Linked DNA regions of Mytilus edulis. The protein of the gene in region 1 interacts with the protein of each later gene in a biochemical or structural test. Links are inferred from orthologs where the notes say so. Each region holds a gene or a part of one and is shown in the gene's direction. Other genes may lie near its edges.

Region 1 (9,098 bases):
CCTCAAATTCAGAATTAATTGCGAGGTTTTTCTTAATGTGAATAATTTGACTACCTTAATGTCATAAAACAAGAACTCTCATTCTGATATCTGATATATATTGTATGAAAAATTTTCTTCTCTGAATTTGGATTGTGATTAAATAGTTGACACATCATAGGTTTCTGACACAGAATGAATGTGATCTAATGAACTTAATATTTTTTTTTTTGCTTTTGAGCAATTCACTATGCTGTTGAGTGTTGAACATGTTGAATATTAATCCCTTCAAAAAATTAATGTTTGAAGAAATTTTCTTTGCAATTTCTGAAATCTAAAATGAGAAAAATTAGAACCCCCCCCCCCCTATTCCAAAAACAATATCAATTCAAATTTCTAATGGAGTTTGCAACAATTACTACTCATTTAAATAGATCATAAAATATTAAAATATAAGATGACATACAGTCATGGTAAAAATTAATATTAATTATAGTAACTTCTAAAAAAAGATTACAGCTAATCATCTCAAGACAAGCACCATTTCTTAATACATCATTTTCAAGCAGTTTAAGGGAGGTAATCAAACATGTATATAACAGTATTCTTTAAATGGAATTGGGAATACCTCCTTTACACTGCTTTTAAATTGTCTAAATTGCCTTTAACCAGGAAAAACCCTCGTTTCCCCCCTTTTTTGCCACTATTTGCTAAATTATTTGAGCCATAACCCCCATAACCATCCCTTCGTAGTATGGAAACTTGTGGTATAATTTTAGAGAGATTTATAGATTTAAACACTAGTTGACTGGAAACTACAAAAATGCTTATTTGGGGCCCTTTTTTGGCACAAACTTATTGAAACCCCCCTTGAAGAAAAAAACCCAAAACTCAATTCCAGTCATTCCTTTGTAGTAAGAAACATTGTAGTATAATTTGAGAGAGATCCATACACTTAAACACCAAGTTATTGTCTGTAAACTAAAAAAATGCTTCTTTTTGGTCCTTTTATGGCCCCTTATGCCTACATGTTCAGGGAAATTAACCCCAAACTAAATCCCAGCCTTCCCTTTGTTCTATGGAACATTGTGGTACAATGTCAGAGAGATCCATACAATAATACACAAGTTATTGTCCGAAAACTAAAAAAATGCTTGTTTTTGGCCCCTTTTTGGCTTTAATTCCTAGACCGTTTGCCCCTTAACCCTTAAAATAAATCCCAACCTTCTACTTATGGTATAAAACATTGTGGTACAATTTCAGAGCAATTGAAATACTTTTACACAACTTATTGTCCTGAAACTAGATAAATGCTAGTTTTGGCCCCTTTTGGGTCCCTCATTCCTAAACCTTTGGGACCATAACCCCCAAATCAATCCCAACCTTCCTTTTGTGGTTATAAACATTGTGTTAAACTTTTATTGATTTCTATTTACTTATACCAAAGTTATTACATGTATTGGAAACCATCTGTCTTTGGACGAAGGTGACGACGACCATTTTTGCAGTTGTATAAAAATCCTAAAAATAAATGCATGCAGTATTTTCTAATTTAAGAATTACTCAACTAAAAAAAACTAATTTAAAACATGCTAATAATATGCTAACTATTCAACTCTTAATTTCAACATTGTAGCATTAAAATGTAATTATAAGGATTGAATGCTCCTTTTTATAATTTCAGACGTTAATTAAAGCATACAATTGATACATTTTTTATATGAAGTGACTCTGTTTCATACAATATTTTCTTCTCAGCTTACACTTTAATACCCCAATGAAATTTTAAAGAGAAGCATTTAATTCTTATTAAAACAACTTACTTATTGTAAATCTTAATTCTTCAGTATTTGGGAAACATACAATTTGCAGAAACTGAGAAAGATATTTACCTATTTGAGGACATCTTTTGACAACATCTAGAACTTTCAAGTCTAATGGAAACATACATTTACTGAAATCTAGAGATTTTAACTGTAGCCTGTAAATAGATCATGTTTCAAAATTATCAGACAAAAATACAAATAACAACAATCAAAACAAGTAAATCTGTGAGTTACTGATCACTTTTGATACCCTGCCCTCTGAAAGAATTAGTTAAAATAAGAAGTTGTTCAGTGATGAATTTGATATGCATCACACAGTAAAGCTGACTCATATTAACCCATAAACCAAATTTCAGAAATCTTGTTGTAATGTAGATATTGAGAAAGATGCGACAAAAAATATTCATGAGACGTCACAGACCGAAAGACTTACAGATGGATGGACAGACTGATAGACAGAGTTTAAAGCAGGGGTATAAATATCAGTTAAGAATTAATAGTGAAAATTGCTGTGGATTTATTATTACTTGTGGGAACAAATTTACATGGATTTCCTGCGTGTACTTTACCCATATATTTAAAATATAAAAAAATCCAAAAAATTTGAATGGAGTATTTTATCAGAAAATTTTCATTTGATATATAGTATTTTGACAAGGACACATTTTGATCATTGGGAAACATTATATTTCCTTAAAAATAAAATTTGATTTAAACATTCAGCTGCTTTTTACAGAGTTATCTCCCTGTAGTGTTATGTACCACGTTAACAAATAATCACTGGTATATTTTGACTTACCATATAGTTGCTTTATCACACAATTGGTTGAATCTCCTACATGTCTGACTAATGTGGAAAATATCTTGCCAAGTCAAATGTTTGCAGATCTCAAATATAACACCTGATGGAAGATACTCAAGCAAGATGTTTGACCTAAATTATAAATTATAGGTTCATGCAGCTTTATAAACATTTAAATAGTTCTATATTTTAGTAATATGTAATGCATTTGCATAAACCACTAGTTTGAATGTTACTATTTTATATTACATATGGTATAGCATTCAGAGGCGGATTTAGGGGCCCGGGCCCCCCCTTTTTGGGAAAAAAATTGGTTGCTTATATAGGGAATCACTGAAGCGTAACTGGAGTGGCCCCCTCTTAGGTCAGTCAGTAGGCCCCCACTGATTAAAATTTCTGGATCCGCCACTGGCATTCTACTGTTTTCATTGGATAATATGACGATCACATGTTTCAAAGGTTGTATTTTTTTAACATATAGTGACGCTATGCTGCTATTAATACATATATTGGTGGTCAATATGAAAATGTTACTAAATTTAGATTTATGACGTCACACATAACAACCACAGAAGAAGCGCCGCATTAGAAAAGAAAATTTGAAAGTTTATCAGGAGATTTCAAGAATTTTATGTTAAATGCAGATGAAAAGAATTTGAGAATGCTAATGCAACAAAATATGAAGTTTAAAAAAAAATGATATTGTCAATAACATTTTTAAATTTTTGCAAAATACAATTAAAAAATACACAGAAAGAACATTGAACGTCATTTTTCTAATACGTTATTTACATATGTAATGTAGAAATCAAGGACTTTCACTCAGTCAATACGCTATATATGGACCTGTAAGATTATATTAACACTCAGACTTCGTGCCCGCTCAATATAATCTGAACATATATATAACGTATTGACCTGGTCAAAAACCATGATAATTGATAAATATGTGACTTGAAATATACAGACCTGGATAAATCGTCATTATATGATCGCATGTGCTTGTTCATCTTTTTAAAAATATATATTTATGTTAATATAGGATAACATGCATTATAACAAGTCTTTGTATTGTTAGTTATTTCTTTCAGACTTTTTCTAATTTGAATATATTAAGCATGTTAAGTAAGTATGTTAAAAATAAAAAATGAGAATGTTAAGTTAAATGGATAAACATTGAAAGCTATTATTATAAAAAAAAAAGCCCTTTAGCATGTTAACCAATCATTTAAAATATTCACAAAAGGATACTTTTTCAACACCACCATCACAGTGTTACTAGCTGCAGTGTTATGTGCATGGAGCAAGGATGCATTTTCAACAATAAATATCATAATGTTTCATATAGTCATCAGCAATGTTTGTTTGAAACTGAGTAACAAAAATAAATTCCTGTTTAATTTACAAATTCCCAAATTGTCACACATTTTGGTAATAGTCTACTTCTGCTTTGAGTTCTTAAGTGAAGTGTAAGAAACTTTGAAAAAAAAATCTGTTCTCTGTAGACAAACTGTTCTTAAATTACAAAAAGCTATACAGAAACAATTCATGGACCTATTCATATACACCTTAATTAATCCTTATTGCTAATCCTGACTGACCCCTGAATTTGTCCCGCTCGAACTATTGAAGTCATACAACAATCACTTTTCCATTGTGGCGTCAGATATTTTGTATTATGACGTCAAAATTTTACGGGAACCTGTGCAATGTCCAGTAATGGCAGACATTAAGGGGGTTCACGGGTCTATATCAACTTTTTTTGTAATATAGGATTTTGCTATTTTTTTCTATGATTAAACTTTATCTTATACCTAATAGAAATATAAAATAAAAATATGGGGTCACCGTTCATTCAAGCTCACAATCTGCTTCCGAAAGAAGCATACATTTTTGTCAATGTCCTTTTTTTCTGTGGAACTAATAGAAGAAATATTGGTAATATCAAAATAAAAAAAGAACTAAATTACAGAAATCGCTTAATTTTTACAATTGTTTAGTTTATGTACAGCCTATTTGAAAACAATAATAAAAAATATAGGTCACCGATGAGTTAAAAAAGATATTTCAATTTAAACGTCAAAAAATTACATTTTTGCACCAAAGGGAGATAATTTGGAGCTTTTTCAATGATATATACATTTTTAAAGTCATCTGTGGCCAAACCAAATCGATTAGTCCGGGTGATTTTTGTACCATATCATAAAGTAATAACTAATAGTGTTATAAATAAAATTTGTTGTTTAATTTTTTGCTGATTTTTTTATACACACGAGCCTCCTTAAATAGAGATAAGGTGTATTGGATTAATTTGAAGCTGGAGGTGGTGCATCTGATGAGTTTTGTGGCAATGCCGCCAACTAATATCACAAAGACAGCACGCAAACAAAACATAAAAATGACAGCATTTTACTATCAACAGACTAAGTATTTCCCAAAAAATTCCAATGTGTAATTACTAAAGACTAAAAAAATAGTGTGTTTACCATTCATATTTGTCTGTTCCTGCCATATTCTACTACCAGCTGATTAAAGATGATTTGCTCAGGACATTATAACATTTATTCAGTTTGTTATTCTGAACAACTTGCAAAATTGGCAAACTGAAAGTAGATCAGAGTACCACAGAAGCTTTCATGCAGCGTAAATGTATTATTCACGAATAACATTTTAATGTTATGATTTCTGCTGTAAGACATGTATTCCAAAAACAAGAAAATATATTTTTTAAACAGTGATACCGATTACTTTTATTGATTTCAGATCATTTTAATAAAATTGCTTTCCCGTGTGCGTTTTATTTTTCTAAAACGAAAGTAGACATATTCATACGCTATGAATATTATTTCTACCCGGAAAAAAATACAGCAATAATCTTCAATATTTTTCCTGTAGTACTTATGTTCGAAATTTCATATTAACTAAAAAATTATTCAAAATAAAATCGCTAATTTCTGTGTCAAAAAAAAATAATCCTTTTTATTTACGTCAACAAATGTGGAAGGATAAAAAAAACTGATGTTGTTTGGTTAATGTTTTGGTGCAAAATTTCGTCAACAATGACCGATTAAATACCCTTCTTTGAATGACAAAATATTTGTGAGAAATGGGCAACTGTTTCAAAACACCAAGTACGGATGATATTACGCTGTTACATGACAATGACAGCCAAGATGGAACTCAGCAGGCAGCTCCTGTTCCAGTTGGACCTCCACCACCATATCAGGTAAATATTTCCTATTTTATGGTCATTATGAGAAGTGTACGCAAATCAACAAACATTTACTTTTAGTTAGGACTATAATTTAATGGATATTTGTGACATTTTGAAAAAATATATATTAGCTGATGTCTGTGTTTGTATAATAAATGTACCCCATGATCAGCTGATCTTGACAACAAAGACAGTCTATGTCCTATTTTTAGAACAGTGACACACAAAAACACATGGAAATGAGTTTCTGAATAATATTAAAACTCATTTGGTTCATAATTAATGTCAGTTTTAAAAATCTTCACAGAGAGTATGTTTATAAAGTTATTTTATATATACAATGTAGGTGATACACAGACTACAAAAAAATACATTGTAAATGAAGGTTATTAATTGTACATTTCACCTTCAATCTAATGATTGTTAGGATGACTAATTTAGGAGATTTGATTCGAGCGTCTTTAGAACAGTGACACACAAAAACACATGGACCTGTAAACAATGAATGTTTCTGCATAATATTAAAATCATTTTGGTTCATAATTAATGTCCATATCTACAAAAAGACATAAACCGCATAGAGAACATACAAAGAAGAGCAGCTAGATTCCTTTGTAAAGACTATAGACGTACGAGTAGTGTCACCTCCATGATGAAGGACCTTGGATGGAAACCTCTTGTGGAACGAAGAGGAGAACAATGACTGGTACTACTGTATAAAATAGTGAACGACCTGGTAGCCATCCCCACTGAACATCATATAGAATTTAATACTAGACCATCCAGAATTTCTAACGTCAAACAAATAAAACTTTTATCAGCAAATACTGACATTTATAAACATTCTTTTTTTCCACAAACTATCATTGATTGGAACTTACTACCAAATGCTGCCGTGAACTGTAAAACTGTGGAAAGTTTTAAGGCAGTTATATCGCATGACTAGATACATCAGTGGTGCACACACATTTCCTGGATAAGTTTTACTCAGTATTTTGAGTTCATTTCCAGTATTATACAGATACAGATACAGACAATGTCAGTTTTAAAATCTTCACAGAGAGTATGTTTATAAAGTTAGTTTTATATAAACGTGATACAAAGACTACAAAATTTAAAATATACATTGTAAATGAAGGTTATTGTACATTTCAACTTCAATCTAATGATTGTTAGGATGACTAATTTAGGAGTTTCGATTCGAGATTCGAGCGTCACTGGTGAGTCTTTTGTAGACGAAACGTGTGTCTGGCTTTTATACAAAATTTCATCCTGATGTCTATGATGAGTTTATTTAGGAGACACAGGATATAATTGTTTCAGATAGATAAGGATTTGTTTCAGGTTCAGGTATCAATGGTTAGTTAAGTATAACTTATCAGGTATCAGGACCTTTATTAAAGTTAAAGAAATCCTAAATGTGTATTGACTATAGAAATTTATTGCCAATAACTGGAGTAAGGAATGTGCAGTTATGTACATGTAAATGTGGCTCTAATAAACCACTATCATGACAATCATGTAGAAGTATATATGCCTTCTTCTTTCATCAACTGCTCTGTCAGCTCTTAACACTCGTAACTTTTGTCTTGGTCATTTCAGGAGCGAGCTCCAGTATATTATCCATCACCCAATGTCAGTCGGCCAGCTAATATGCTTACAGAAGATGAACAGATAAAGATTGCCCAACGATTAGGTCTTATAAGTCATTTACCTACAGGAGTTTATGATGGGTGTAGTAAACGAGGAAAAGAGTAAGTTGATCATATTTATACATGGGTGTCACTATCTTAGTGGTTACCTTGTAACCGTGCTTTGTAAAAAAAGTCATATTTATGTGCCTTATCATTCTTTAATATGGGTATGAATAATTTATATAGTAGAATCTCATCATATGGCACCTGGCTGAAATGGCTTGAGTCGTAAAAAATTAAAAGGTTCAATCTGAGACTACTATAACACATATTGTTTAGTCAGGTACAATGTACCAAAAATGTCTGGCTGGCTCAATGTTTTTCTTTAAACCTGTTTTCCGGAAAAACAGCGATTGAAGGTCAGAGCAATATTGGACTAGCATTTTGCTTAGTATTTTATATTCATAAGTTACAATGTATGTTTCAGATTAAATCTATAGACTAAAAGTTTTAGGATTTGTTTTTTGTAAAAAAAAAACACTAGTGAAAATGTTTATTGTATTATTTGTTCTTATAATAGAGTCGCTTGTTTTGGTCTGCAGAATACAGATTTTAATTTTTAAAATAATCTTTTATAGCTTAAATTATATTTATGTTTTATCAAATTTTGATACTGTCTAGTGTCTACCTAATATGTTTGAAAAGTGTATATTTAAGGATTGATTTTGTGTAACTATAGGTATCAAAAGAGTTCAATTGATTTATATTCCTTTTCTTTACCGTAAATAAACATACATTATTTATATTTCCATGTAAGTAGACAGGTTGAAAAAAGTACACTTGGTTAACTATCTTTAAATCTAGCTTTACTAAGCACTTTAATCATGTGACCTACTTATTATCATAAGGAAGTACTCATATAGTAAACAGGAATTAGTTATGTATTGTTTCATTTACATTATTTTGTCAAAACTTCCTGTTGAGGCCCCATCACATTATAAGTGCTTTAAAAGGTTCTTTTGTAAATCATTTTATATTTTAAAGGCCAACAAAAAAATATTCATATTTTTTACTGTCAGACTCGCATGATGATAAAAAAATATTCATATTTTTTACTGTCACATGATGAAAAAAAATAGCATATTAAATAGGTAATTTATCTTTAAATATTCATATTTTTACTGTCACATGATGAAAAAAAAAATGGATTTTAAAAATAGTTAATTTATATTTCCATAGTCTACTGCGCAGACATTGTGTCCTTGAAAGTACTGAAAAGAAAATGATGATAAAAATAGGGTAGGGGTTAAAATAGGGAAGTTTGATTGACTGTGCACAAAGAAATGATTTTAATCTTTTATTGTAATAATATTCTTTGAGTAGGAATTCCCCACAGCTGTGACCTTTAAAGTTTACATTTTTGCAACATGATAATATTATCATTTTGTTCATAAAACATACTACTGTTAGTATTTTTGAATATCAACAAATTTAATGAAATGGAATGCAATGCAATCAAAACAAACATGGAATGCAATGCAATCAAAACAAACAAAGATAAAAAAAATAATGTTTTATTGCTATTAAAATTTCTATGTGCATAAAGAATGCAAACATTACATGTAGCCCTTTTCTGTCTCACT
Region 2 (7,902 bases), about 95 Mb from region 1:
CGGTAATCAAACATCATCATGTGCATTTTTAATTGGGGATTGTCTATTAGGGACGACATCAAAAGATCGATGTAGGATAAAAAACTTAAATCAAATAGTTTGGGGGTGTGGGGGGTTAAAATTCTGAAAGTTTTGTATATCTAAAATCGATTTTTACATATATCCCTATAGGTAAATCAATTTTTCCCAAATTAAGTTAAGAGGGGGGGGGGGGGGGGGGGGGTCAGTGGAAAAACTATGTGAATTAAGTTTTTTATCCTACATTGAACTTTTGATGTCGTCCCTAACCCTAAGACAATAACCATGGAAACATGAAAATTATCTCAATGTATTTTTAAATGTACATGATCATATGTGAAAGTTTACAAAAAAGAAACTGTGCAAAGTGATACAAAATCTTAAAAAGAGGCTTAGCAGAGTACAACAGCCACACTCACTGTTAGAAGGGACATAAAGAGGCTTAGCAGAGTACAACAGCCACACTCACTGTTAGAAGGGACACAAAGAGGCTTAGCAGAGTACAACAGCCACACTCACTGTTAGAAGGGACACAAAGAGGCTTAGCAGAGTACAACAGCCACACTCACTGTTAGAAGGGACACAAGATATAACAGGTCTAAGAAAACATTGAGCAACCAGATGCACCGCAGGGCGCAGATTTATACAACCGCAGACTTCGAACCCTGAACAGTTGTGGCAAGTATGGACACAACATTCAAGCTTGATACAGCTCTAAATTTGGATTGTGATTAAATAGTTGACACAACATAGGTTTCTGACAAAGAATGAAGGTGGTCTAAGAACTTAAACTTAAAAACTTTAAAATTTTAAATTGGACATTTACCTATTATGGTCCAATATCCAAAATCTAACTACATGGTTAGATTCAGCATATCAAAGAACCCCAAGAATTCAATTTTTGATGAAATCAAATAAAGTTCAATTTTGGACCCTTTGGACCTCAATGTGGACCAATTTGATAACTGGGGCCAAATATCAAAAATCTAATTACATGGTTGGATTCAGCATATCAAAAAACCCCAAGAATTCAATTTTTGTTAAAATCAAACAAAGTTTAATTGTGGACCCTCTGGACCTTAATGTAGACCAATTTGAAAAAAGGACCAAAAATTAAGAATCTAAATACACGGTTAGATTTGGCATATCAAAGAACCCCAATAATTCATTTTTTTATCAAATCAAAATCAAACAAAGTTTAATTTTGGACCCTTTTGGCCCCTAATTCCTAAACTGTTTGGACCAAAACTCCCAAAATCAATCCCAACCTTCTTTTTGTGGTCATAAACCTTGTGTTAAAATTTCATAGATTTCTGTTTACTTATACTAAAGTTATAGTGCGTAAACCAAGAAAAATGTTTATTTGGGCCCCTTTTTGGCCCCTAATTCCTAAATTGTTGGGACCAAAACTCCCAAAATCAATCCCAACCTTCCTTTTGTGTTCATAAACCTTTTGTTTAAATTTCATAGATTTCTATTTACTTATACTAAAGTTATTGTGCGAAAACCAAGAAAAATGCTTATTTGGGCCCTTTTTTGTCCCCTAATTCCTAAACTGTTGGGACCTCAACTCCCAAAATCAATCCCAACCTTCCTTTTGTGTTTTAATTTCATAGATTTCTATTTACTAAAACTAAAGTTATAGTTCGAAAACCAATGTGTCTACGGACGACGAAGACACCAACGTCATACCAATATACGACCGAAAATTTTGTTTGCGGTCGTGTAAAAACTACCACAACAAATAAGGTGTGATAACAATGTTCTTACATTTAATTAAAACATTAAATGTTAAAAAATTATCCCTGTATAATTACTTCTTATGACATATGTATGACATAATAAAGAAATCAAATTAAAAAAAAAAAAAAATTTAAATCATTTTCCTGAAATCCTTTAAAAAATGGTCAGTCCTCTCTAATTTTTAATTAATTTTTTTTTGCATATAGCAAGAAAATATGTGGAGGTTAAAGTTTAGACAAGTACAAATAAATTGTATAATGATTATATAGTCCAATTTCAAGATTAGATAAACAACTTAAAATACCATTCATATTATATAATTATAGTCAATGTATTGTCTCAATACTGCATGCCATAACCATTTACCGGTAATATTACGTCTAATTGTCTATAATGGAGAAAAATTGTCAAATAAAAGCTGGCATGGTAATCATATTCAATAAAATATGACACAAGCAAAAGAAAGATATATACAAAATTTACCTCAGTACAAAATGGTGTCAACTGTTGATTTACTTTTGGCTGAACATATTGGTGGAAGACTGATTCTGTTTGAAGAGTCACAGCATTTATCTTCAATACTGGAAATTCTATAATTTCCTAAAAAGTACATTTTTGAAAATTTAAATAAACCTTGTATTACCATAAATTTACACAACATGTAGCATTTAACCTGAACTTGAAATCAATGATAGGCTTTCTCATTTCTGTGGAATATCCATAGGAATAATTCAAGAATAGTGTCAAAGGACTGTCGTTGTCCTATGCACCCTGGTTTACCAATTTGATATAGAAGTAAGTGGCATAATTCAAATAAACAGCTGCACCATGAACACATGATACGCCTGTCAATTTTTCATAGGTGGAGAAAGCCGGAGTGTCCCGAGAAGACCACCAACCTTGGATAGGAAAACTGGCAAATCTAGTCAATTGAGATTGGAGTCGAATTCTCCTGCAAGAGCAGGGTTCAAACTCACAACCTCAGTTTTGACTGGCTAGTAGTAGAACTACATAGACCACTCTGCCAACAAGGCACCTATAAATTATATAAGATATGTTATATACATGTACTATGTAAGATATCTTTTAAAGTTTAGAAGATAACTAATAAAGTACATGTATAGAAGTTATCTTATAAAATTTATAAGACATAATATATAAGATATCTTATAAAATTATATTATGTGAAATATCTATTAAAGAAATCTTGGGAGTACACTGTAAGGCCTAGAATGATGCATGTTTTTCCAAACTTGCAAGACTGCCATTTAATAATAGGATAATGTTATCAAGTATTAAATTCTGGGACCATTTAATCACTTCAGATGGAAGTTAAGTTCACCAAATATATAATGCTACAAAAATAAGCAACCCATGGGTTATAAGCTTACTATTAAACCCCTTTTTGGTTTGATAACACAAGAAATAATTGACCAGGGTTTTCAGGAACAACATGCAAATATTTCAGCATCTCCAAAATCAATTTTTTTCTAGAGTGTTTACAAAATGAGTGAACGTGCAGCTTATGTTGATGCTTTAAGAAATAGATCAGTTCGATCATCATTTTGTAAAACTGGTCTCCAATTAAAGGCAAAAAGAGACCCACATTTGAAAAGGTGAGCTGACACAATTGCATGTTGGCATCCAGATTTTTTACTTTTGATATTTGAAAGTTGAAATCAAATGATCTCACGTTTGAACTGATCAGAGCATAATACGCTAAAAGGAAAGCATATATTTAAAGAAAACAAAATTCAAGGACTAACTTGGGGCAGGATGTACACATAAGTGTCAAATGGAATAAGCACATATGAGGGTCAAATAAAATAAGCAAATATGAAGGTTAAATAAATTAAGCACAAATAAGGATCAAATTGAAATAAAACAGCACATTGAAATACAGCCCTTCCAAATGTTATATTAGCACATCAATAAAACAATGGGGTTATATAATGAATTTCTTACACATGCATTATCATTGCTATTCTGCAACCAGGATTTTTTTAAAAAGGAGGGGGTAATTCCCACTAAAGCGATAAACAATCAAAGAAAATTATTTGATGATTTTACTAAAAATTTACATATTGTAAACAACATATTTATTCTTGGGTGATCAATTTAGGGCGAACACCACTGACACATCCATCACTACGCACAGGGGCTTGTTTAGTGGGTCAGACGAAGTTTTACTGTCAATGGCGATCACTATCCTATATAAAATATTTATTTTTATAAGCCCCTGTGCACTACCTGACTACGTCTGTATGATATCTGCCACTGGCACCCATCATCATCATACTGATACTAAGTGAAACACATGTCCCATCTTTCTTTATACAAGTTAATGATATGAAAAATACCTGTGGCACAATTGTTCTCCCATTCTCACATGTTGCTTCAAAATCCAAAACCAGAAAATATTTGAAAGGTTGTGGCTGTAAATTATTTGTGCCCTGTAAATTTGTATCAGAAACTGCTGCCATGTTTATACAATTAGTTGATATTGCAATATGTTGTCTGAAAATTCGTTGTACTATCGGTTTCAGGAGATTGCATGATGTTTTGTAAATACACATGACAACTTCTACTTTTGGTTTCGTTTCTAAACTACGACTTCCGGTTTAGTCATGTGATTGATATTTTCCCTTGACCTTGATCATGCTGAACATCAATAAAGATGAGATCATTCAATACAAATGATTCTGAATGGCATATCTGGTAAATATTTCAGATAGTTTCTCCTGAGTTTTTCAGAAGGTGATCATAAATGTGATGATAACTTTAAAAATTGAATATTTGTCCACTTAACCCAACATAAGCGCAGGAATCTGAGATCAGCTCACAAATGTCTAAAATTGATACAAAATGACAGATGATTAAAGAATTTGACCATAATATTCCACCATTTGCAATATATTTAAGTGTATGGACAGAAATTATAAGGATATTTATAAAGGGGACAAATGCTGATTGTATACACAAGATTGGTTGTACGTTTAAGAAATTTTTGACAAATTTTTTACATCTTATCGCTATTTCGAAATCTGTTTGCCTTGACTTAAGAATCTGTGTACGCTTGAACTATTGACGTCATACAACAATCACTTTTCCATTTTTGCATCAGATATTTTCTTTTAAGACATCAACATTTTACGAGATCTTTTGTGATGTTCAGTAATTGAGGACAAATAGCGATAAGGTGAATTATATATGTTGCAACAAGGTATTGGTGAATAAAGTAACTAATCTGAATGTAGCTGAATTCATCCTAAGACTTTGGTGCATCCTTGTGAAGCCTTCGACTGATTGTATGCTGAAAACTTTTCCCTCCTGGTGCATATATCCCTATTTGGATATGTGTGATTCTTGACATTGCAGATGTAAAGACTCCTATTGTCAACATCATGATGTAATGATGTAAACACAAAGGTACAGACTTGGTATGCCATATATAAAAACAATGTTGACACAAATTTGTTAACATCGCTTTGTTTATGAAGTAAACTATGTAAAAAAAGGTATAGACTTAGTAAAAAGTATGAACACAATGTTGCCTTGCTACTGTTAACATGTCTATGATGTAAACACAGAGATACTTGGTATACAATATAAACACAATGTTGACTTGCTACCGTTAACATGTCTATGATGTAAACTCAGAGATACTTGGTATACAATATAAACACAATGTTGACTTGCTACTGTCAATATTGCAATGTCTACAATTGGAACAATGTAGACACAAAGGTATAGACTTGTTACATAAACAATATAAGCAGGATCTTGACTTGCTATTGTCAACATACATGTAGCAATTTCTACTATGTAAACAATATTAACACAAGTTATAGATAAATTAAACAATGTAAACACAATAATGACAAGATACAGTAAGCATTGCAATGTCAACAATGTGCACTGGGCATACTTAAAAAAACTGGGTTAATAAAAACGTTTTTACTTGTTTGGTTGCTGACTCTTAAAAAAATTAATTATACATCTTATGATTTTAGGATGAATATCATTTTCTGACATATTCAAAACAATGGATAGTTTGATAGTTGACCTTGACAAGGTGCTGGATGACTTTGAAGCAGAAGGTAATATTAACAGTTTTACATCATGGAACTAGTTTATGTGATTAGATTAATTATGACTGATTTCAAATTTAAGCAAATAACCAGTTTTTATATGACTGCAAAATTTTTGCAGTTGAATAATGTTATCACGCTATCAGGGTCATCATTGTTTGAAGACATTTGGTTCCAGATAATAGCTTTAGTGTAAGTGTATGTATCTCTATGAAATTGTACCACAAGGTTCCAAGGGGTTATTCTTGTAGATGTTTAGGAATAAGGGACCGCCATAAAGGGAGAAAAAAACTAGGATTTTCTGGTTTCCGAATTTATGAACAAGATTTTCTTTTTTTATTAAAATGTATTACTCATACATTTTGATAGTATTTATTCTTGATCATGAATTTATAAAATTGCTTAGTTTATTTTCTAGTTAAATTGATGATAAATAAAATTGCTAATATGGAACTTTCTAACAACTAATAACTTCTGTACATGTAAGTGCCATGTTTAGCATAGCGCACCAATTTCCCATCAGAAAAGTAATTTTTGAAGTTTTTGTAAACTTTTTGGTTTGTTGTTGGTTTATCTTTTAATTCCTAACCTGTAGAGCCAGCTAAAATGCAACATAAACTATATAAAGGGAAGTAAGATACACATTAGTCAGACTTAGGTCGTATTTTAATCTTTTATTACCAAAATGTTTTTATACAGTTGCAAACTCATGTGAATAAATTTGTTTAGTAAATTTATGTCAATTTTCAGAGTCCACAAGTAGAAAACCTACTGGAAATGTGTCATCTGAATATGCAACTTATCTCTCCAAAAATGAGGATCATTCTTGGGAAGAAGTAAGTCGAGCACCGGCAGGTTCTGCTCCTAATTGGAAGAGAAACAGCAAAGATGAATATCTGTCCTTTATTGATTATGGCGAACCTTATGAACCAGCAAGTAATTTTGATTTGTCTGAGGCAGACTTTGCACCATCATTGAAAACAAAAACAGAGACTGTATCATCCAAATTCAGCAATGTCATAACAAATGGACATGTTGAAACGGTTGAAAATGGAAATTTTGACTTTGGTCACAAAAATCCTGATAGATTATTACATACCACTAAACCTGGTGATTTAACACTAACAATGAATGGTTACCATGACAATAAATCTGCACCAATGCATATGCATAATGAAAACAATAGTCAGATGATTGATTTACATGGTTGTGAAACTTCTGATTTAACAGAAAATGAATTCGGAAATGTAGATCGAAGTGTGAACTTTGACGACACTTATAACAAATTTCCTATTCAGGTAGTGGATATATTCACACCTGTATCTGAGGATGTACCTCAAATACCTTCATCTACAACATATCAACAGAATGCCATACCAAATAACTTTTATCAAAGTAACGGGAAGGATAATGTGGAAGAAAATATTCATGTAAATTTAAATGAAAGTGTACCAGTGAATAGTCATGATAGTGCAATATCTCATGATATAAATATTTCAAAAGTTCCATCAGTGAGGAACGAAGATCTAACCAAGAACAAACCTATGGAAATGATTCATAATAATTTGCATGCCAAAACTCCGTCATCGTCTTCTCATACATCAGAAAAGAGAGTCAATGAGTTAAAGTCAGTTAACACTGAGCTATCATCCTCACTTACTTCAGACAATACAAAAACTGACTTACAGCCAGTAAAAACTGAGCTTTCAACATCATCAAAGACAGACAATAGAATAACTGAGTTACAATCAGTTAAAACTGAGCTTTCGTCCTCACCTGTGTCAGATAATACAAAAACTGAGTTACAGTCAGAAAAATCTGACTGTTTAAACTCTGAATTAACCAGGAAAAGAACAGATCAAATACAATCAAATCTTGCAGGAAATAATGATAATAAGAAGGCAGATGAAGGATATGATTCTTATGACTGTCTAGGAAGAGATGATGCTAATAGTGTTCTGTTTGTGAAAAAGGAAGCAACACCGACTTTGGACTTATCAGATGTTATTTTTGACAATAATGCATCAATAAATGATAGTGTCAGTGGTGT
Region 3 (8,399 bases), on another chromosome or scaffold:
AATGTTCATGTGAATTTCACGTGAATTGAGATTCACACGATTCTCACGAGAAATTTTTCACATGATTTTCACGTTTACTTTTCATGATTTTATTTTAATTTGAATTTTAGATGTTATTAGAATCATTAACATGACATGAAATTCAAGTGAGATTCACATGAGGTTCATGTGAAAATTCACATAAACTGATTTCATGCAGTGGCGGATCCAGAACTTTTCATAAGGGGGGCCCGCTGACTGACCTAAAAGGGGGGCGCTCCAGTCATGCTTCAGTTATTCCCTATATAATCAACCACATTTTTCTCACGAAAGGGGGGACCGGAATTTAAATTCACGTGAAATTGAAGTGAGTGAAACAAGCCAGAAGTCCGTATCAAGCATAAATTGTGTTTCACGTCGAAATTGTCTCGTTTTGCAACCTTTCTTAATCTATTTTTTTTAAATTGTTACATCTACGTCTCCTTTTGTAATACAGCTCTGTTACTGAACAACTGAAACATACGGCTTGCATATATATTATGTGACACAGTGTATAGATGTAGTCTGATACTATGTGCTATTGTGAAAAGATTAACAGTTATACACCCTAGTGTCATAGATGGTAAAAAGATGAACAGGAAGATACCGTGAGCCATGGTACAAAGATAGTCATATATCGTGTACTATGATAAAAAGATGTATAGGCAGATACCGTGTGCCATGGTACAAAGATAGTCATATATCCTGTACTATGATAAAAAGATGTATAGGCAGTTACCGTGTGCCATGGTACAAAGATAGTCATATATCCTGTACTATGATAAAAAGATGTATAGGAAGATACCGTGTGCCATGGTACAAAGATAGTCATATACCGTGTACTATGATAAAAAGATGTATAGGCAGTTACCGTGTGCCATGGTACAAAGATAGTCATATATCCTGTACTATGATAAAAAGATGTATAGGCAGATACCGTGTGCCATGGTACAAAGATAGTCATATATCCTGTACTATGATAAAAAGATGTATAGGAAGATACCGTGTGCCATGGTACAAAGATAGTCATATACCGTGTACTATGATAAAAAGATGTATAGGCAGTTACCGTGTGCCATGGTACAAAGATAGTCATATACCCGTGTGCCATGGTACAAAGATAGTCATATATCGTGTACTATGATAAAAAGATGTATAGGAAGATACCGTGTGCCATGGTACAAAGATAGTCATATATCGTGTACTATGATAAAAAGATGTATAGGCAGATACCGTGTGCCATGGTACAAAGATAGTCATATATCCTGTACTATAATAAAAAGATGTATAGGCAGTTACCGTGTGCCATGGTACAAAGATAGTCATATATCCTGTACTATGATAAAAAGATGTATAGGCAGATACCGTGTGCCATGGTACAAAGATAGTCATATATCCTGTACTATGATAAAAAGATGTATAGGAAGATACCGTGTGCCATGGTACAAAGATAGTCATATATCCTGTACTATGATAAAAAGATGTATAGGCAGTTACCGTGTGCCATGGTACAAAGATAGTCATATATCGTGTACTATGATAAAAAGATGTATAGGAAGATACCGTGTGCCATGGTACAAAGATAGTCATATATCCTGTACTATGATAAAAAGATGTATAGGAAGATACCGTGTGCCATGGTACAAAGATAGTCATATACCGTGTACTATGATAAAAAGATGTATAGGCAGTTACCGTGTGCCATGGTACAAAGATAGTCATATATCCTGTACTATGATAAAAAGATGTATAGGCAGTTACCGTGTGCCATGGTACAAAGATAGTCATATATCCTGTACTATGATAAAAAGATGTATAGGCAGTTACCGTGTGCCATGGTACAAAGATAGTCATATATCCTGTACTATGATAAAAAGATGTATAGGCAGTTACCGTGTGCCATGGTACAAAGATAGTCATATATCCTGTACTATGATAAAAAGATGTATAGGAAGATACCGTGTGCCATGGTACAAAGATAGTCATATACCGTGTACTATGATAAAAAGATGTATAGGCAGTTACCGTGTGCCATGGTACAAAGATAGTCATATATCCTGTACTATGATAAAAAGATGTATAGGCAGTTACCGTGTGCCATGGTACAAAGATAGTCATATATCCTGTACTATGATAAAAAGATGTATAGGCAGTTACCGTGTGCCATGGTACAAAGATAGTCATATATCCTGTACTATGATAAAAAGATGTATAGGCAGTTACCGTGTGCCATGGTACAAAGATAGTCATATATCGTGTACTATGATAAAAAGATGTATAGGAAGATACCGTGTGCCATGGTACAAAGATAGTCATATACCGTGTACTATGATAAAAAGATGTATAGGCAGATACCGTGTGCCATGGTACAAAGATAGTCATATACCGTGTACTATGATAAAAAGATGTATAGGCAGTTACCGTGTGCCATGGTACAAAGATAGTCATATACCGTGTACTATGATAAAAAGATGTATAGGCAGATACCGTGTGCCATGGTACAAAGATAGTCATATATCCTGTACTATGATAAAAAGATGTAAAGGCAGATACCGTGTGCCATGGTACAAAGATAGTCATATATCGTGTACTATGATAAAAAGATGTATAGGCAGATACCGTGTGCCATGGTACAAAGATAGTCATATATCCTGTACTATGATAAAAAGATGTAAAGGCAGATACCGTGTGCCATGGTACAAAGATAGTCATATATCGTGTACTATGATAAAAAGATGTATAGGCAGATACCGTGTGCCATGGTACAAAGATAGTCATATACCGTGTACTATGATAAAAAGATGTAAAGGCAGATACCGTGTGCCATGGTACAAAGATAGTCATATATCGTGTACTATGATAAAAAGATGTATAGGCAGATACCATGTGCCATGGTACAAAGATAGTCATATACCGTGTACTATGATAAAAAGATGTAAAGGCAGATACCGTCACGTTGTCATGATGAAAAGATGAGCAGCCAATTACTCTTGCGCCATGGTACAAAGATGAACAGTCATATACCGTATGTTATGGTGAAAGGTGTACAGGCAGATATCGTGTATCATGGTGAAAAGATGAACAGTCAATTACTCTAGTGGCTGTGCCATGGTAAAAAGATGAACAGTCATATACCGTGTACTATGGTAAAAAGATGTACAGGCAGATAACGTGTGTCATGGTTAAAAGATGAACAGTAATATACATTTGTACCATGTGCTATGGTGAAAAGATGTATGGGCAGATACCGTGTGCCATGATGAAAAGATGAACAGTCAATTACTCTAGTGCCATGGTAAAAAGATGAACAGTAATATACCGTGTACTATGGTAAAAAGATGTACAGGCAGATAACGTGTGTCATGGTTAAAAGATGAACAGTAATATACCATGTGTTATGGTGAAAAGATGTATGGGCAGATACCGTGTGCCATGATGAAAAGATGAACTGCCAATTACTGTAGTGCCATGGTACAAGGATGAAAAGTCATATGGGCAGATACCGTGTGCCATGGTGAAAATATAAATAGATATATAACGTGTGCTATAGTGAAAAGAAGTTCAGTCAGATACCGTGTGTCACGGTGAAAAGATGAACAGCCAATTACTCTAGTGCCTAGGTAAAAAGGTGAACAGTAATATACCATGTGTTATAGTAAAAAGTTCAGTCAAACGCCCGTGTGCCGTGGTGAAAAGATTACAGTCATATCGTGACTCTAGTGCCATGGTAAAAAGATAAACAGTCATTTACCGCGTGCTATGGTAAAAAGATGAACAGTCAGTTAAAGCAAAGCATCAGTCAACATGCAATTAAACGGTAAATAAAAAATCTTACACCAAGAGACTCAAGTAGAAAGTTTAGGAAAAAGATGAAATTTTAAAATTTTAACTAAATCTTGTTGTTTTTACAATCTATTTTAGTAAAATGAGCAATTATGTTGGTAAATTCCTTTTTAGTTCTTTATATATCACAACGTGACCCCAGAGATGTGGAAATGTCCTCTTAATCTAGCTTATAAACAATGTTATTAGAATTTTATTGTCTTTTCCCCCTCACGGTAAATTGATAAATTTGCTGGACAATGTATATATATAAAGTAAATAATGGTTTTGATGAGGAGCAGACACCAAGCAGAGGGTTGTACTCTAGCATGGACCGTGGACTTGACAGCTGTCACTAACTGTCCTCATCGTACTTTATACAGATAACCAAGCATCAATACGTCATTCACAGCAATTATATCTCATTAATGGTATTTAAGATGATATTGTCAGCACTTAATATATCAGGCACCAAATTCAAGTTCTATCATGTGAAGTTTGGATCAGTAATGTATACGCCGATAACTCCGATAAAAGTAGAAAAAAGACTAGGAGAGGGAGGATCCGCAGGGTCAGTCAGTCAAACTACAGGCACTTGTCTCAGAAAAAATGTCCCTTATACCTTAACACTAAGATATATATAAAAATAGTTACAAATATTAGTGACTGTGGTTGAAACAGGGTGTAAGTGTCAAATATTGTAAAAATACTGTCGATAATTTTAACTAGTTTTAATAAGAAAAGAAATAGAATTTTTCGATAATTTTTTTATGTATTTGTCACTTCAGACCGTGAATTACAATTTACATTACATTTTGTCTCTGAAAAAAATAAAGGTCACTTTATTTCAAATATAAATATGTCATTTTAAGTTATAAAACCAGATAAGTTGTAACTAAAAGTATCATAATTTCTGGCATAATTTAATTTGAATACAATTTACATAATACCACTTAATGAAACAGTTGTTTTAGTTAAATACCGGACGCAAGACTTACTAATTCCCCCTACCATTACCCCGCTTATCTTTGGCGACAGTAATCCTTTTAATGGCCTCTTTGTCGCTACCGGAAGTTGTCAGTTTCAGACTCATTTGCATACAATATTTTGCTTTCTGTTTAAATGAATGGGGATGAAAATGACAGAAAATATATCATGATCTCGATATCTAGCAATGGCTAGTAACGGATCTAGGCGTCATGGAACATCTACTATGAAAATTCGTTTAACAGGTACACCTTATTACACAAATAACTCGCCTATAAGATCGAAACCAAACGGTATTTGTCGATGACCCATTGTACTCCAAAGAAAAATGGCTGCCTTGAGGAATCCAGTAGCAATTAATATCATCATTACAGCGGTATCGTTGAGTGTACCAACTATTTTAAGAAAGAATTAAGGCCTATATATATGTAAATTCTGATATATTATAATTTGACGGCGTCAATTGTTGAGACCACTCTTAAAATGATGTACATTACCATCATCAATGAAAAACTTTATAAATGACAACAAGTAAGGCCAGGACTGAAAACCACTTTTACTTTCTCTTTAAACACAAAGGATGATTGTGAAAAGCGTTTTTCTGAAGATGTCTCATTGGCATTGCTTTTGTTGGATACCTCTTTTTGACATTGTGATTACCCATATGCATAAGATTTTATTAAATCTCTTGAAGGTAATTATTGTCATTCACATGAGTCATGTTGTTGGGTAGTTTGTTGAGACATCGTCTTACTAACCAAATGTATTGTTGAGAATCACCTTGAAAATCCTGATCCTGAAATCAACAATAGACATGATAGAATAATCAGACAGCATGCTCCATATTTGAATACTTATTCTAATAGGTTTTTCAATTTTTTGTCTTGCCGGCTATGAAAGCACTTAAATTATGGGAAACATTAGTATTGCTTTACTGGCATAGTGTTCCTATGATATATCATTTGGCCATACAAGTTTTGAAAAAAATGAGTCCAGACATATTTTTTTGTGACAAGGTAACATGGAATCGCATAGTTAGCCTTTTTACAAATGTATACGAGTAAAGAGTTTATTAGTTATGCATTCAAAAACATTCATATCCTCATGTAATTCTTGTGTACATGTTTATCATATATATTATTTGCAAATTGTTGAAGAACTTCCTAAGGATGCAGATTTATAAATGCAGAGTACCGTACGTACATGTACACCTCAAAAGTTTGTATTTATATATATGTATTAAGTTCAAATTGATAGTCCATTTTAATCGGAGAATTAAGTCATGATTATCTTCATTAACATGGAGATGTTAAAAGGGTTATTTATTAAGTTATTTTTTTAAATGAAAATTATGATAGATGAAACAAAAATTATTTTCAATAATCTTGATTTTGTGATTAGTATATACATTTAATAATTGATTTATAATTTATATTATCAAAATATCTTTGACCAAATTTTAACATTTTCAATAGATAATTTATTATCATGATTATATATAATGTATGAAAAAGATGTGGTATAATTGCTAACAATACAGCTACAATTTACATTTTGTATAATATATGTACTATGTAGGGTCAATCCCAAACATTTCTGGGAATATTTGATTTCCTGGATCTGATGCATAAAATTCTACATAAACTTTAATTATCAATTCCTGAAATAATAACTTTCAAATTAAAATTTATATGAATTATAAGTATTTACTCCTGAAATAGATATATCTTTTAATTGGTTTTACTGCTGTAAAAACAATAGATAGTATTCATTACACAAAACATAAGTCTGTATTCACTATTGTACATGTATGGTAATTTTACTTCCAGTATATTGCCACTTCGGACTTCCAATCTTTATTCCAATAGACATGTTCAACCAAACATGTCATATATACATATTTCTTGAATTCATGGACTTTTAACTTTATGCATCTCTGTATTAAGAATTAACTAGGTTATGATTTGTTAAAAGAAAGACAAATGAAAGAGGAAGATACACATTTGACAGGAAATATTTCAAATTTGGACATGAGAGGAAATACTATTATGAGGATAATCTGGATTTTTCATGGGAATGTACCTTAATCATTTAAAAAAAATATGATTCTTTATATTATAAAATGTAGCATTGTCTTATTAATTTTGTTTTGTCTTTGCAAATGGGTTAGAAGATACTTGAAGTGCTGTACATGTACATGTGTCACAGTCTGGGCAGGGTCTGTGCTATCAATAATGGTTAAAGTTTATAATTATTTTTTAGCAAGAGCTCTGTTACATTTTATGTTAATGGCATTTTCGATATAATATCACACAAATTAACAAAGGCAGTTGCTATTTGTCCGGCCAATACAATGCGCATGTTAATATTGTGTGTGCTTGTAATATTACCTTCAGCCGCACCAGGGGGTCACAAATTATATATATAAACATTTAATAAGCAATGGTTTGCCATCTTAAATTGTCGTGCCAAATCTTGTTAGTTTCATATGAAGTTGAATGTGGACAACGTGTAATTAGAAAAAAAAAATCATATGTATCATAATTTGTATATTCATTTCTTTATCTATGCCTTCACATTGTAAGAAGAGGGAAGAAATAACTTGTAAAACAAACTTGGGTCCTGATAGGCATATTAAGTTAACAAAAGGATTTGGTCTAGTTGAAAAAGGTACAAAATTAGTATGTCTGAAGCTGTCAAACAGAATGATTGACCCCCTTTCTTTGTGATTTCAATTACTTTTTAGTCCGTTTTATAAAATTGGATCATTCTTTGAAGTTCATACTATCGAATGTATCTGCTTGTCAAATTCTAAAAACTGGAAAATTTATCACAATTTTTTATATCGCCGTTTTCAACCATTATCTCACAATTGAAAATCAGTGTTCGGAGTACACGCAACCCCATGGTGCTGCTGAAGATAATATTACATGCACTTATCATAAGTTATGCAAGCACATAAAGTGACATGCGCATTGCAATTACCGTACAAATAGTCCTAGCACTATTTGTCCGGCTAGGTGTACAAACAGCCACTCTGATTAACATATTATTGATCATTTCCAACCATTCACATACATGTATGTGGAAATTGTGGGTGTTTTGGGTTTTGGTATTAAAAATTATACTGCATTGTACCGTGTCATGATGAGTATGGTCAGTGAGTGGAAAAGTCTCTTGTATATTTATATGTACTTGTACACACATCATACAATAATTTTTTTTTTCTATTTTAGTTCTATGTGCCAAGAACTTAGCCAAGAAAGACTTCTTCCGTAAGTATACCAGTCCAAATACTTTCTTTTCGCATTTGGCAGATTCGTTACATACATGCATCAACCATTACATGTACACTGTGTAAAAATGTCAGTAGAATATATGGAAAACAAAAGAGGATAAACACAAAATAAACCTTTGATTTAGCCTTTCTATAGTGCTCATCACTTTGGCATTTACGAAAGGATTTTCAAATGACATAGGTACTTCTGTTCCATTTCAACACTAAATTTTGTGAATGGGAAAAATAAATGTAAGGAAATTTTATATGGCAAAATGTTGTCATACTTATATGG

What was found. The genes of interacting proteins can lie anywhere in the genome.
Region 2: the proteins of RING finger protein 11-like (region 1) and zinc finger FYVE domain-containing protein 9-like form a complex in vitro, tested with the Homo sapiens proteins (2 studies listed by BioGRID). The link is inferred for Mytilus edulis from reciprocal best matches to the Homo sapiens genes RNF11 and ZFYVE9.
Region 3: the proteins of RING finger protein 11-like (region 1) and E3 ubiquitin-protein ligase SMURF2-like form a complex in vitro, tested with the Homo sapiens proteins (3 studies listed by BioGRID and IntAct, with this or other methods). The link is inferred for Mytilus edulis from reciprocal best matches to the Homo sapiens genes RNF11 and SMURF2.

The regions. Positions count from the first base shown.
Region 1 is NC_092344.1:15,814,598-15,823,695, forward strand, and holds the start of RING finger protein 11-like, read left to right. Parts: upstream 1-5,692; 5' UTR 5,693-5,713; coding exon 5,714-5,833; intron 5,834-7,423; coding exon 7,424-7,575; intron 7,576-9,098. Other genes in the region: uncharacterized protein, read right to left, coding at 1,872-1,960, 2,605-2,739, 5,094-5,119. UniProt on the Homo sapiens protein: Essential component of a ubiquitin-editing protein complex, comprising also TNFAIP3, ITCH and TAX1BP1, that ensures the transient nature of inflammatory signaling pathways. Promotes the association of TNFAIP3 to RIPK1 after TNF stimulation.
Region 2 is NC_092344.1:110,623,091-110,630,992, reverse strand, and holds the start of zinc finger FYVE domain-containing protein 9-like, read left to right. Parts: upstream 1-4,392; 5' UTR 4,393-4,479; exon of another isoform or gene 4,480-4,518; intron 4,519-5,774; 5' UTR 5,775-5,806; coding exon 5,807-5,861; intron 5,862-6,602; coding exon 6,603-7,902. Other genes in the region: ERI1 exoribonuclease 3-like, read right to left, coding at 2,245-2,361, 4,122-4,337. UniProt on the Homo sapiens protein: Early endosomal protein that functions to recruit SMAD2/SMAD3 to intracellular membranes and to the TGF-beta receptor.
Region 3 is NC_092352.1:15,167,541-15,175,939, forward strand, and holds the start of E3 ubiquitin-protein ligase SMURF2-like, read left to right. Parts: upstream 1-4,889; 5' UTR 4,890-5,014; coding exon 5,015-5,072; intron 5,073-8,063; coding exon 8,064-8,102; intron 8,103-8,399. UniProt on the Homo sapiens protein: E3 ubiquitin-protein ligase which accepts ubiquitin from an E2 ubiquitin-conjugating enzyme in the form of a thioester and then directly transfers the ubiquitin to targeted substrates.